Drosophila melanogaster: one gene and its partner. The protein of the gene in region 2 interacts with the protein of the main gene of each other region in a pairwise test. Each region holds a gene or a part of one and is shown on either strand. Other genes may lie near its edges. The genes, in order: isoQC and CG13407.

The links.
Region 1: the proteins of CG13407 (region 2) and isoQC interact in a two-hybrid assay, tested with the Drosophila melanogaster proteins (one large-scale study listed by BioGRID).

The regions. Positions count from the first base shown.
Region 1 is NT_037436.4:20,472,308-20,477,602, reverse strand, and holds isoQC (iso glutaminyl cyclase), read right to left. Parts: upstream 3,138-5,295; 5' UTR 3,077-3,137; coding exon 2,960-3,076; exon of another isoform or gene 2,812-2,959; intron 2,642-2,811; exon of another isoform or gene 2,217-2,641; coding exon of another isoform or gene 2,106-2,216; intron 2,039-2,105; coding exon 1,091-2,038; 3' UTR 600-1,090; downstream 1-599. Other genes in the region: CG5969 (uncharacterized protein), read right to left, coding at 3,326-3,571, 3,634-3,705; CG32428 (uncharacterized protein), read left to right, coding at 4,629-4,962. UniProt on the Drosophila melanogaster protein: Acts as a glutaminyl-peptide cyclotransferase. Responsible for the biosynthesis of pyroglutamyl peptides. Might be more efficient in the conversion of tri and tetrapeptides in vitro.
Region 2 is NT_033777.3:22,101,277-22,106,118, forward strand, and holds CG13407 (uncharacterized protein), read left to right. Parts: upstream 1-2,137; coding exon 2,138-2,226; intron 2,227-2,793; coding exon 2,794-2,979; intron 2,980-3,254; coding exon 3,255-4,314; downstream 4,315-4,842.

The DNA of each region.
Region 1 (5,295 bases), on a different chromosome or scaffold from region 2:
ATGCGCCAGTATCGGGTAGCGAAGTGGAGTGGGTCAAAAACAACAAAGCTTGAAAGGGCTGCGAAGCCAATGTAGCTAATTAAATTTCGAATGAAACGACAGTGTCCCGCGGATGTGCGAAGGCGGAATGAAATGCACACAATATGGATTGCAAAGTCAACCACAAATCAAAATTCGATATTTAAACTTCATAACAGTAACATAATCTTAATTCGCAACACATATAAACGTTTATTGTAGTGGAAATGCCGATTTTCTTAATTTATTTATGTAACTCGCACAAACATCCCAAATATTTTAAAATTCTAGACGCAGTTTGGAGTAGTGTTTAAGTTGAGAATCCCACTTACATGATTCAGGGTAGTGGTGTGGGTTCCTGGAGTTGGGTGCCAATTAATTAAATATAAGGTGCAGGTCCCTCGCCGCGGTCTCCGGCGTAGGTTGCAGGTAACGGGGGGTTCCTCTGTCACTGGGAGGCAGGGCGGTTGCCGCAGACCTCTTCTCCTAGATTGGGAGATATGGTGGGAGAACGTCTCTCCGTTGTTGACTGCCCTTAAGGCTAGCCAACCAATTCAATGATAACAGCAGTAGCTGGAGTTGATTGAAGGCGCGATGCGCTCTTTATTGAATACAAAATCAAACTGACTATAAGCTAACAAAGGGAAAAACATCATAGCGGCCTCTGCCAATGCGCAGAGCTTCTGCCGGCTATGCATGAGCTTCCGGCCAAATGCTTGGTCAGCAATTTGACCGGTGCTGGTGTGCGGACAATCAGTCCGGTTAACTTAGTTAACTTACATAAGTGAAACAATTTACAACCGAAAGATTACAAAAAATATATAAACCTGACGTGTCATTAGCTAAGCATTTTCTATAAATACATGTGTATAAAAATATTTGGAGTACGCGTGTTGCAGATCTTCCCTTATTAGTTTTAAAGCACGCAGTCGGTTACAACAAGGTTTTCTAGGGATCTTCCGGCGGGCATAAGAACTTCCAACAATGCTCCGATACTGGAACAGGTCAATTAGATAAGGCCTGAAGTAGATACAACATTTGTCATTTGTGATTCACACGGAAGCCCACTTGACTACTTGGCCTCGGTTCCGGCCAGCAGATACTCCAAAGCGAAGAGCCGTATAATCAGTGCCAGGTTGTCCGTCGTCGCATAATCGATCACGCTGGCGTTATCGTCGGGCGTATGCCATACACTGGGAAAGGGCACCGGAATGAGGTGCAAGATCGGCACATTTCGCCGCAGGAAGGGTATGTGATCGTCCTCGATGAAAGAGGATCGCATGGCCTGCGACTGGAAGTAGCGGGTGGGGTCGCGCTGGGCAACTCCACTGCTGGCATAGCGCTCCAGGAGCTGCAACTTGGCAAGACGTGTCTCCACGGACTGGATACGCATGTACCAGGACTCGGTGTTTTCGAAGAAGCTGTAGAATGCCGGATCGGGGGCTCCCAACAGATCCAGGAGCACCAGCATATCTATTCTATCAAGTTTTCCTTCATGGTGCCACTTTTTGGCCAGGTGTCGTGCTCCATAGATGGAGTCCTTGGGTCCCCACTCCTCAAAAGCCTCCTCGCCATCGAAGAACAAGAGCATCAAACTCAGTTTGCTCTTCTTGAGGGGTTTCAACTGCTCCTGAAGCACCTGGGCCAGGTTGAGGAGCATGGCACAGGGCACTGCCGAGTCGGTGGCCCCCAGGAATTCCACTCCAGGCATGTATTTGCTATCATAATGGCAGGACAGCACCAGATATCTCTCAGCATTTGGATTCAGGGTGGCGATGATGTTGTGGAAATGCAATTTGCCTTTGATGGGAGCGTGATCATGAAAGCTGTTTACTTCCACATCCCAGTCTAGATCCCTCAAACTCTGGACGATGTATTCGCGAACGATGCTATGATTTGTTGTGCCCACAACTCGAGGTATAAGGATTTTGTCAATGGCTTCCCTTAGGTGTAGCTTATCGGATAGATTGCTGTACTCCAGGAATCGGGGCTCGGAGAGCTCGCTGGGATTGTAGGATATCTGTTTGAATTAAAAGAAAGCACATATTAAGCAGGCGGTTGGTTTAGCTGCATTACCCTCCATTGACCTGTGTTCTTCCTACGAGATTATCCTTCTGGGAAGTGGATCCCCTCACCAAGGTGGCTATCAAAGCTGTCTGCACGCACAGCGTCCACATTCTAGCTGTTCGATGTAGCATATTTAACCGACTGACTTAAGACTACGTGGCTGAGTGTTTTTGTTCGGCGGTGGGAGTGTTGTGTCCCAACAGGTGGTTGCAATCAATAGCGGCAGGTTCGTAAGAAGTTTAAAGATTGGTCATCCGGCTGCGCAACTATTTTGCGGCACACTCCGGCTTGTACTTAAGACCCTTTGGCGAGTCTATTAAATTATCATTTTGGCCAGTTTTTACGGCCGACTTGTAAGGCACAAAATAACAAAAATGGGCGTCGCAAAGGGGGTCAAAATGCTAACGAAAATAACACTGTCTATAGGTAACGCTCGTTGTGGGTGTCTATTTGTTTCCCATCAGTAATTTATTGCACTCCTCTCAAAAATCATTTAATTTCCTTGTTTACTAATTCAACCAAAATCGTTTTGTTTACGCGTATTATTTAAACAGCTGCTTGCCATTTGTATCAGGTGGCAGCACCAGTCCCGAACAGGTGGCACCCCCATAAAAACAGGTCACGGGCGTGTCTAGATTTAATGAGCAGGGGTCTTAAGCAATGGTTACACGAAATATTCAGTTCACTAGCCATTCTCTTCTTACAAAATAATAAAATGACTAATTTGTGCTTCAATCAAAAAGAAAACATATAATATAAAATTCAAAAACATAAAATTAATTTATCAATATAATAAAATCCCCGAAGTCAGTATACTTTATACAGAACTCCCCTTTCAAGCAGAGAGTACAAATAAATGTATGTTTTAGTTAACCTTAGGAATATCCACCAGTTCGAAGCAAGCGCCTAGATTGTAGATTTTTTTGCGCGGTCTCGGCAGCAATCTTTTGACGGCCTCCATTAGGGAATAATTTCTGAGTAGCAGACGCATTTCACTTATGCATGTATATTTTTAATACAAATTATGCACACAGAACACTACACAACACAACACGTTTTCCACGCTGTTATCGAAACTTATGCAATGAAAAGCGATTACACACGGTTTACAGGCGACTTTCTCCTCCCTCGCTGGCATGTAAACAATTGTATCTATATATGTAGCATGTATGTATGTACAAGAGTGCTCTACCGACTTAAAGTTAATGGAAATAGGGTAACAGTCCGGGGTAGATGAGGATTAGTCCGTTTTGGAGCCCTTGGAACCGGGTGCCCCAAAGTAGGCCCTGTATATATAGAGTCCCAGGGCGATGTGCAATGCAACGACCGCTCCCACGGCGGATGCTATGTTCACTTTGACTTCGGAAATGTCGAGGAACTGGTCCAGAACGAAGCCCTTCAGCACAAAGAAGGTCAGCACGGGCAGGAAAACGATAAGCATGCAGTAGAAGAGCACTGTCTTGAAGGAGCTGTAGTCCTGCGAGTCCTGGGCATCCAAAATAAACAAGGGATTAGCTAGCCGGCAATCGGAGCCGTCATGTTACATACGTGCGACTGCTGGCGGGTTTGTTTCGGCGCAACTCCGTTGCCTCCGGCGGCTTTCTTGTTCTTGGTCGACATCTTTTCAGTTAAATAGAATGCAGCTTAATTGAAAAATCAGCAATTTCTCTCAATTTCTAGTTTTGCTTTGGTCTGCCATTCGGTTATCAGAAATATTTGACAAATCACAAATCACATGATAAAGTGGTAGTACCGTGCCAGCATTCAAAATATACCAGAAAATACTGCGACTAGTCGATTAATCGTTGGTATCGTTGCTATCGAAATATTTTCAACTAAATTCTCATTTTTTAATTCATTTTAATTGAGTAAAAAGTTAAAATTATATCAAAATAAAAGAGAAGTATTGAAGCTATTTCTTTAGGTATACAAAATGAAGTGTCATATTTGTTCAAGTAACATATTGTACGCTGTTTCGCGATTTTCGATAATTATAAATATAAATATATATAAATTATAAGTTTCCATGACTTCCAATGAGATTCATAAGATCTGCACTATTTTTGCAACCACAGCTGTCTTTTCGCAACTTCTTCGGTATTTTTCTCCAGGGTCGCACGCCTTATTGCGACACCAGCAGTGTGGTCACACTGGAGCGAAAGGAAAACAAAAGAGCAATCGTGAATCGAAAGGCGCACGCGGCAAAATGTAAAACTTGCTTATTGGTTTATTTTTAACAGTTGCCGTCACCGCATTTACAGTCGCATTTCGGCCGAATGCTCGCGCGCCCCGCTTGCGTGTGTTAATTGAATTATTTCATCCATTTTAGCAACTGCTGCGTATTTTCGGCGCTTATTAAGCCGACAGAGCCATCAAAATCCATACTGCATACAAATACGATTTCAATTAGGGGAAAAATACGCGCCTGCAGTTCGCCGCACGATTTCGTACAGTACAGTACGGACGCAGAGGAGCGTTTTTTCCGAATTTACTGTACTTGCTTTTCGGTTTTTTTGGGGAAATTCCACTGCAGCTGGCGCGCGATGGTTTTGACGAACTTCGAGTGCTGGGCACATGGTGATCCGTCGTCGTCGGCGGCCGCCACTTTCGAAACTGGAGCGCTGCGTCCTTCGATGGATCCGTTCAATCCACGCGCCGTCACCTTCATGACCGACGCCAACAACAACAACAACAACAATGATGGCAATAACCTCGCGGCACAACCGATGCCGGTCGTCCTGCCTCCGGAAGTCCTGCGCTGCAAGAAGCGCCTGAATCCCGGTCACAATCCTGTCGGGGATTTGGACACGGACCAACCGGTGTACACCAAGAGATGTCGCTACGACGAGTCTGACTTGGCCGCCCAGTACTGCAATGGTGAGTATCGCTGCTCAAAAATGCAAGCTTAGTTATTTAATTATTAAATTGTTTAAGGCAGTTTTATATTAGGCTTACTTAGCAATTGCACATGCAATAATTCCAATAAATAAATTTGTTGTCGAGCAGCCTTTAAATATTAAATATCCTCATTAGTTTCAGAAAACACTCAGAAATATATTATTATGTTATACTCAATCCTTTAAGAGTAATGGTTGCATTTTTTAGTGTCTCAAACCATTTTGAACTTAAATTTAACACTTGCAATGAAATTCAAATTATACTTGAACCAAATATGATATTAATTTAACTTTAAATGAGTATTGAAGGCAT
Region 2 (4,842 bases):
ATACAGATACAGAAACAGCCATCGCTGGCAGACACAGACACGAACCGAGCTGGAGATACAGATGCAGACCCATAAATATCTGGCACGTTCAACAACTCAAAGGGAAAAACTTTCGTTGGCACTTGGCTTAAATGCCTCATTTTCCAGTCATTAAATTTCGCTGGGCGCTCTTGCTGACCAATTTCGGTGGCCATAAAATCTTATAAAAATGTTGGTGGCAAATGTTCGGCTACTAGTTAACTACAATATGTCCGAGTCAACTTGTTATTGACTCTCTGTCTCGGTCCTGGGAGGGCTTTGAAATATGTTGACAATGGCGCCAGCAACAAAAGCTAAATATAAATACCCAATCCACAAAAAAAAAAAAAAAAAAAACAGCCCCCCATTTATGTTCTCAAATTTTCAACCCCGCAAGGCAATTGACTTTTCGATATGCTTCCCTTTTTTTTGGAAGAATCAGCAAAAGTCCTCTAGTTTCTTTTCCATAGTTTTTTGCCCAACATTTCCTGTGGGCCAAATTTTTGGGGGTTGGGGCAGCGCGACAAATCAAAGCGTTACAAAGCTGGAAAATGTGTGGAAAAGTTGCAGTGCAATTTATTATATGCTTTTGATTCTGCAAATCTAGCTGATGTTGTTCTTTCTTTTTTGTTTTGCTCCACGTTGTCGCTAGCACTGCGGAAATGTTAAATATTTGTTATTGCAGTCTAATGTTTCCGCTTTACGAAAGACAACAGACAGGGATTTTTCGAGACTGTGCTATGTTTGTGATCGAAGAGTTGTATACTTCTTGTTTAAAAGTAGTATATATATTACAATTAAATATAGTTAGAAAAAGTTAGTGGAAGATCAGAGCACTTGTAGTGTGTGATAACTGATATAAGCAGCACTAATATACCCCATAAAATTCAATTCAATATAAAAATCTTTTCTGGCAATGAAAACTATTAGCCCCAGTCATAAATCTTTAAGACCAAAGGCGTGGATGTGGAGAAGTGGAAGTGGACCCCAACCAAAAGCCGGGTTCGACTAACCGCACAAGGGACCACAAGAACCGAGCTCCATTTGGCTGCACAGACGACAGTGGCAAAGTCTGGGCCAGACATGGCACAATTATGACAATTTCTGATGCATAACGCTGCATCCATAGAGCTTTTAATGCAATAAACAAGCGACTGGAGCGTCATTAACACTGACAGGAATCGGTAAGGGTAGGGAGTAGGAGGAGTGTAGGGGGGGGGGGGTTGATGCCAAGGAGCATTCCCGGCCTTTTGTCGCTCACTAATTGTCTGGCCTGGCCGAAATGTGCAGCGCATGCATGCAACGCAACGCTCCAATTCAGGTGTGTGTCAGTTGGCCGTTGTCGCCACAAAACACTTTGCCGGCAATTGTCAGCTGGCTTTTGGGTACGTGTTACGAACAGTGATGGGAAATGGAAATACTTTCTCCACGGAGTACAAAATTAAATTAAGATACTAAAGATTACCTTTCCTGAAATTCAATAAAGAAGCAATATAGCAAAGTGGATAAAGTAAGGAGCTCTCGTTTAGAATCTATAACTTCTTCTTTTAATAAGTGAGTTACTATGTTTTTTGTAATTTTTGTACTTGTACCTAGTTTAAGTATTGGTACAAATGCTTTGCTCGAGCCGTACCTGCCAACACTGCCATTGAGTAGTTGTTTTAAGGCCGTTGCAGTTGCAAGTTGCTAGTTGTAGCCAAACTCACTTAGCAGCTGACAATGACAGTCGCCTGCCTCTCTTCTTTCCCGCATCACCAGCAACACCACTATCAGCACCACCACGATTACCACCCACTTCAAGTTCACCTGCGTTAATAGCCGCCTGCCAGGCAAGTGTCTGGGAAAGGCTTTGCCCAGTTGCCTAAACGACATTGTCACTTGCGGTTGGTTGGGCGCATCATCTCCTGCTGCTTCAGCCCCAAACTCCAGTTCGTCGTGCTCGTCCTGTTAGTCCTGATCGTCCTGTTTGCGGCTTCTGCAGTCGAGTTGCCATCGGTTTATGGCAGGTTGAGCACCAGCGACAATGAGCCACGCTGGTGCACCGTGTAGTGATAAACATGCGCGCTTTTCGGCACAAATCAATTAGCAATTGAATTTGGTGAACTCAAAGACGGTGAAAATGTCCGACGGCCAAATGACAAATCAACTCAACGTGCAACAGCAGGAACAACATCCGCTGCTTTCAGCCATCTCAGGAAATAATTATGCGTAAGCCATGGTCAAAGGCATTGGGATGTCGACTGTATTTGCCATACAGCCAAATCAAATTAAATTTGATATAATTAAGAAGTGGCACACTCACTCAGTTCCCTAGAATTATATTGTTAATCTGAACTCGCTTAAGTGCTTTTTATATATTTATCAAGAAGTCCTGCTAAACAACATCGTAAATAATGAATTAATTCTTTTTCAGTCATTGATATATGCAAAACTTAAACGCTTTAACAAACTTCTTTCTTCTATCCTACGTAATATTAATAATCGCTTAAAGGAGCCTTGAAAGAGTTTAGTCAGTTGCAACAGGATAAAGTGTGCTCTTTGGCTTAAAGATTAAGTGCTGGAGTGCCGGAGGCAACTGCAATCGCAAACGACCCCTGGCCCAAAAGACAGCCACTGCGGGCGCGGACTGATACCTCAGGCACTTAGCCGGGCTAATGTGGGACACAAACAGAAGCGGCGTCTCGGCCACACAACCACATGCCCAACCCCCCCCCCCCCCCACTCACTCATCCGCTTGCCCGCTTTCACCACTCACCTTCTAACCTTCTCTTGCAGTCAAACGCAGCGTGTGCATTACTATCCCAACCACTACTACCCGAGCCACTACTTGCCGGGCCATTACCACCAAGGACACCAAGGATACCAGGGGCAGCAGGGACGACCACCGCTCCTGGCGGCCGCCAGCAGCCACAACGGTGCTTATGCGGCCACGGCGGCTGGCAGCGGACACTCCGGCTACGGGTAAGCAAAGAACCACCGCTGCACTGAGAGAAAAGCAATGGGATGAACAAGAAAATTCATTCCAAATATACAAAGAAATTAAACTGTTATGAAAAAATATAAATAACTATTTGAAGATGAATATATACTTAATAATATTGATACTAATGAATACTAAAGTTTCGAACTTATCAACCTAAATTACCTATTTCTTCCTGTGCACTGGCCATCAAAGTCAAACCATAACCCCAATTCCAGTGCAAGTTCCGCATCTAATGCCAGTTTGAATTTTGCAGCGGCATAGAGCCATCCGTGGAGTACGAGCTGCAGCATGACCCACCCTCGGGTAGCTTCTCCTCCTTTCATCCCAGTAGTGCGGGCAGTGGGCCCGCATATCCATCTGCCCACCATCCGCCGGCTGGTCCACCACCGGCTCCTCCGCCCACCAAATCGTCAAAGAAATCGAAGAAGAGCAGCGGTTCGGTGATGAACGCACTAACGCTGCTCTCGTTCTTCTTCTTTGTTAACATGCTGCAGAACTGCCTGAAGGATCATATGGCTGACATGAATCCCACCGTGATGGTGCTCACAGCCAGCGGCACTCGCAATCGTTTCAACAAATTAGCCGAGATGAATTCACGCGAACAGACCTCGACAACGGCCACCGAATCGGTAACGGCATCGGCAGCGGCATCATCTTGGAATCATCAGGCTGCTTTAGTTCCGGCCGTCGAGCCAAGTGTGCCGCCCTCCATTGTTACGCCCACGGTGGTGCTGCAATCGCCCTACAGCCGTCACACGGAGATGGCCAATAAGCCGCCCCAACGCCAGCCAATGGAGTACCAGTCGAACCCTCAGCAAAATCATCACGATTATCGGCCCCACAACGCGAATGATGATGCTTATAATTACGGGCAGCGCCGACCTCCGCCTCAGACCTTCTCCACCTCCGATGGCGGCGATTTCTATCCTAATCGCACACACATCGACCACTCGTCCCGGCCCGACTTTGAATCGGAGTCGGGCTCCGATTACTATCAGCACCACTATAACCCGTATGCTGGCACAAACTCCCATCGGCATCCTTGGTCTTATGGCAGGCAGCGTTACTCATCCGCACCGTGGTCTTCAGCTTCGTTGGGCGCTCAGTCGGGCGTGAGCTCTTACTTGGATAATGCCCAGCGACGGCAAGGTGATGATGACGATGGTCATGGTTATGGCTATGGCTATGGCCACAGGGATAGGGATCGGGATAGGGATAGGGATACGGATGCAGATGGTTTCTGGGATGAGGACGAGAATGGTCAGCAGCGGCGACGCAGCGATGCTTTCTATACTCGCACACGCATTAATTGAATGCAAGAATTCCGCGCACATTTCTATGTTGCATGGCGGGGATTTGCTGCATTAACCCATTGCACAAAAATGGGGTGGCATAATGTGGATGGGCAAAAAAAGATGTGAATGGATTTTTTTTTAGAACAGCTAAAGCAGCGTTTATAGCTTATGGCATTTTACATTCTGTAAATATTATCCACGCTCTTTCGTTGTAGCTTAAAAATACCACATTTAACTTACTTGTATTATTGATTTTCATATAAAGTTATAATACGATATAAGAATTATTTTACATTACCTTTAAAAGTTGTATATCATAATGCACGACCGAGGGTTAAAAATGCTTAGCTTACATGTATTTATAATTAAAAGCAAACAACGTGCATAAGAGCTGACAAAAAATGAATGGAAAAAGGCGATGAGGCGGTGAGGCAGACAGACACACCCGGCAAGTTGGAATCGTAATGAAAATAAATGCTAATTTGTTGCACAACAAATTAAAAGTGCCCCCAGATTTTGCCTGGCGCTTGGCTAAGACTTTATTTT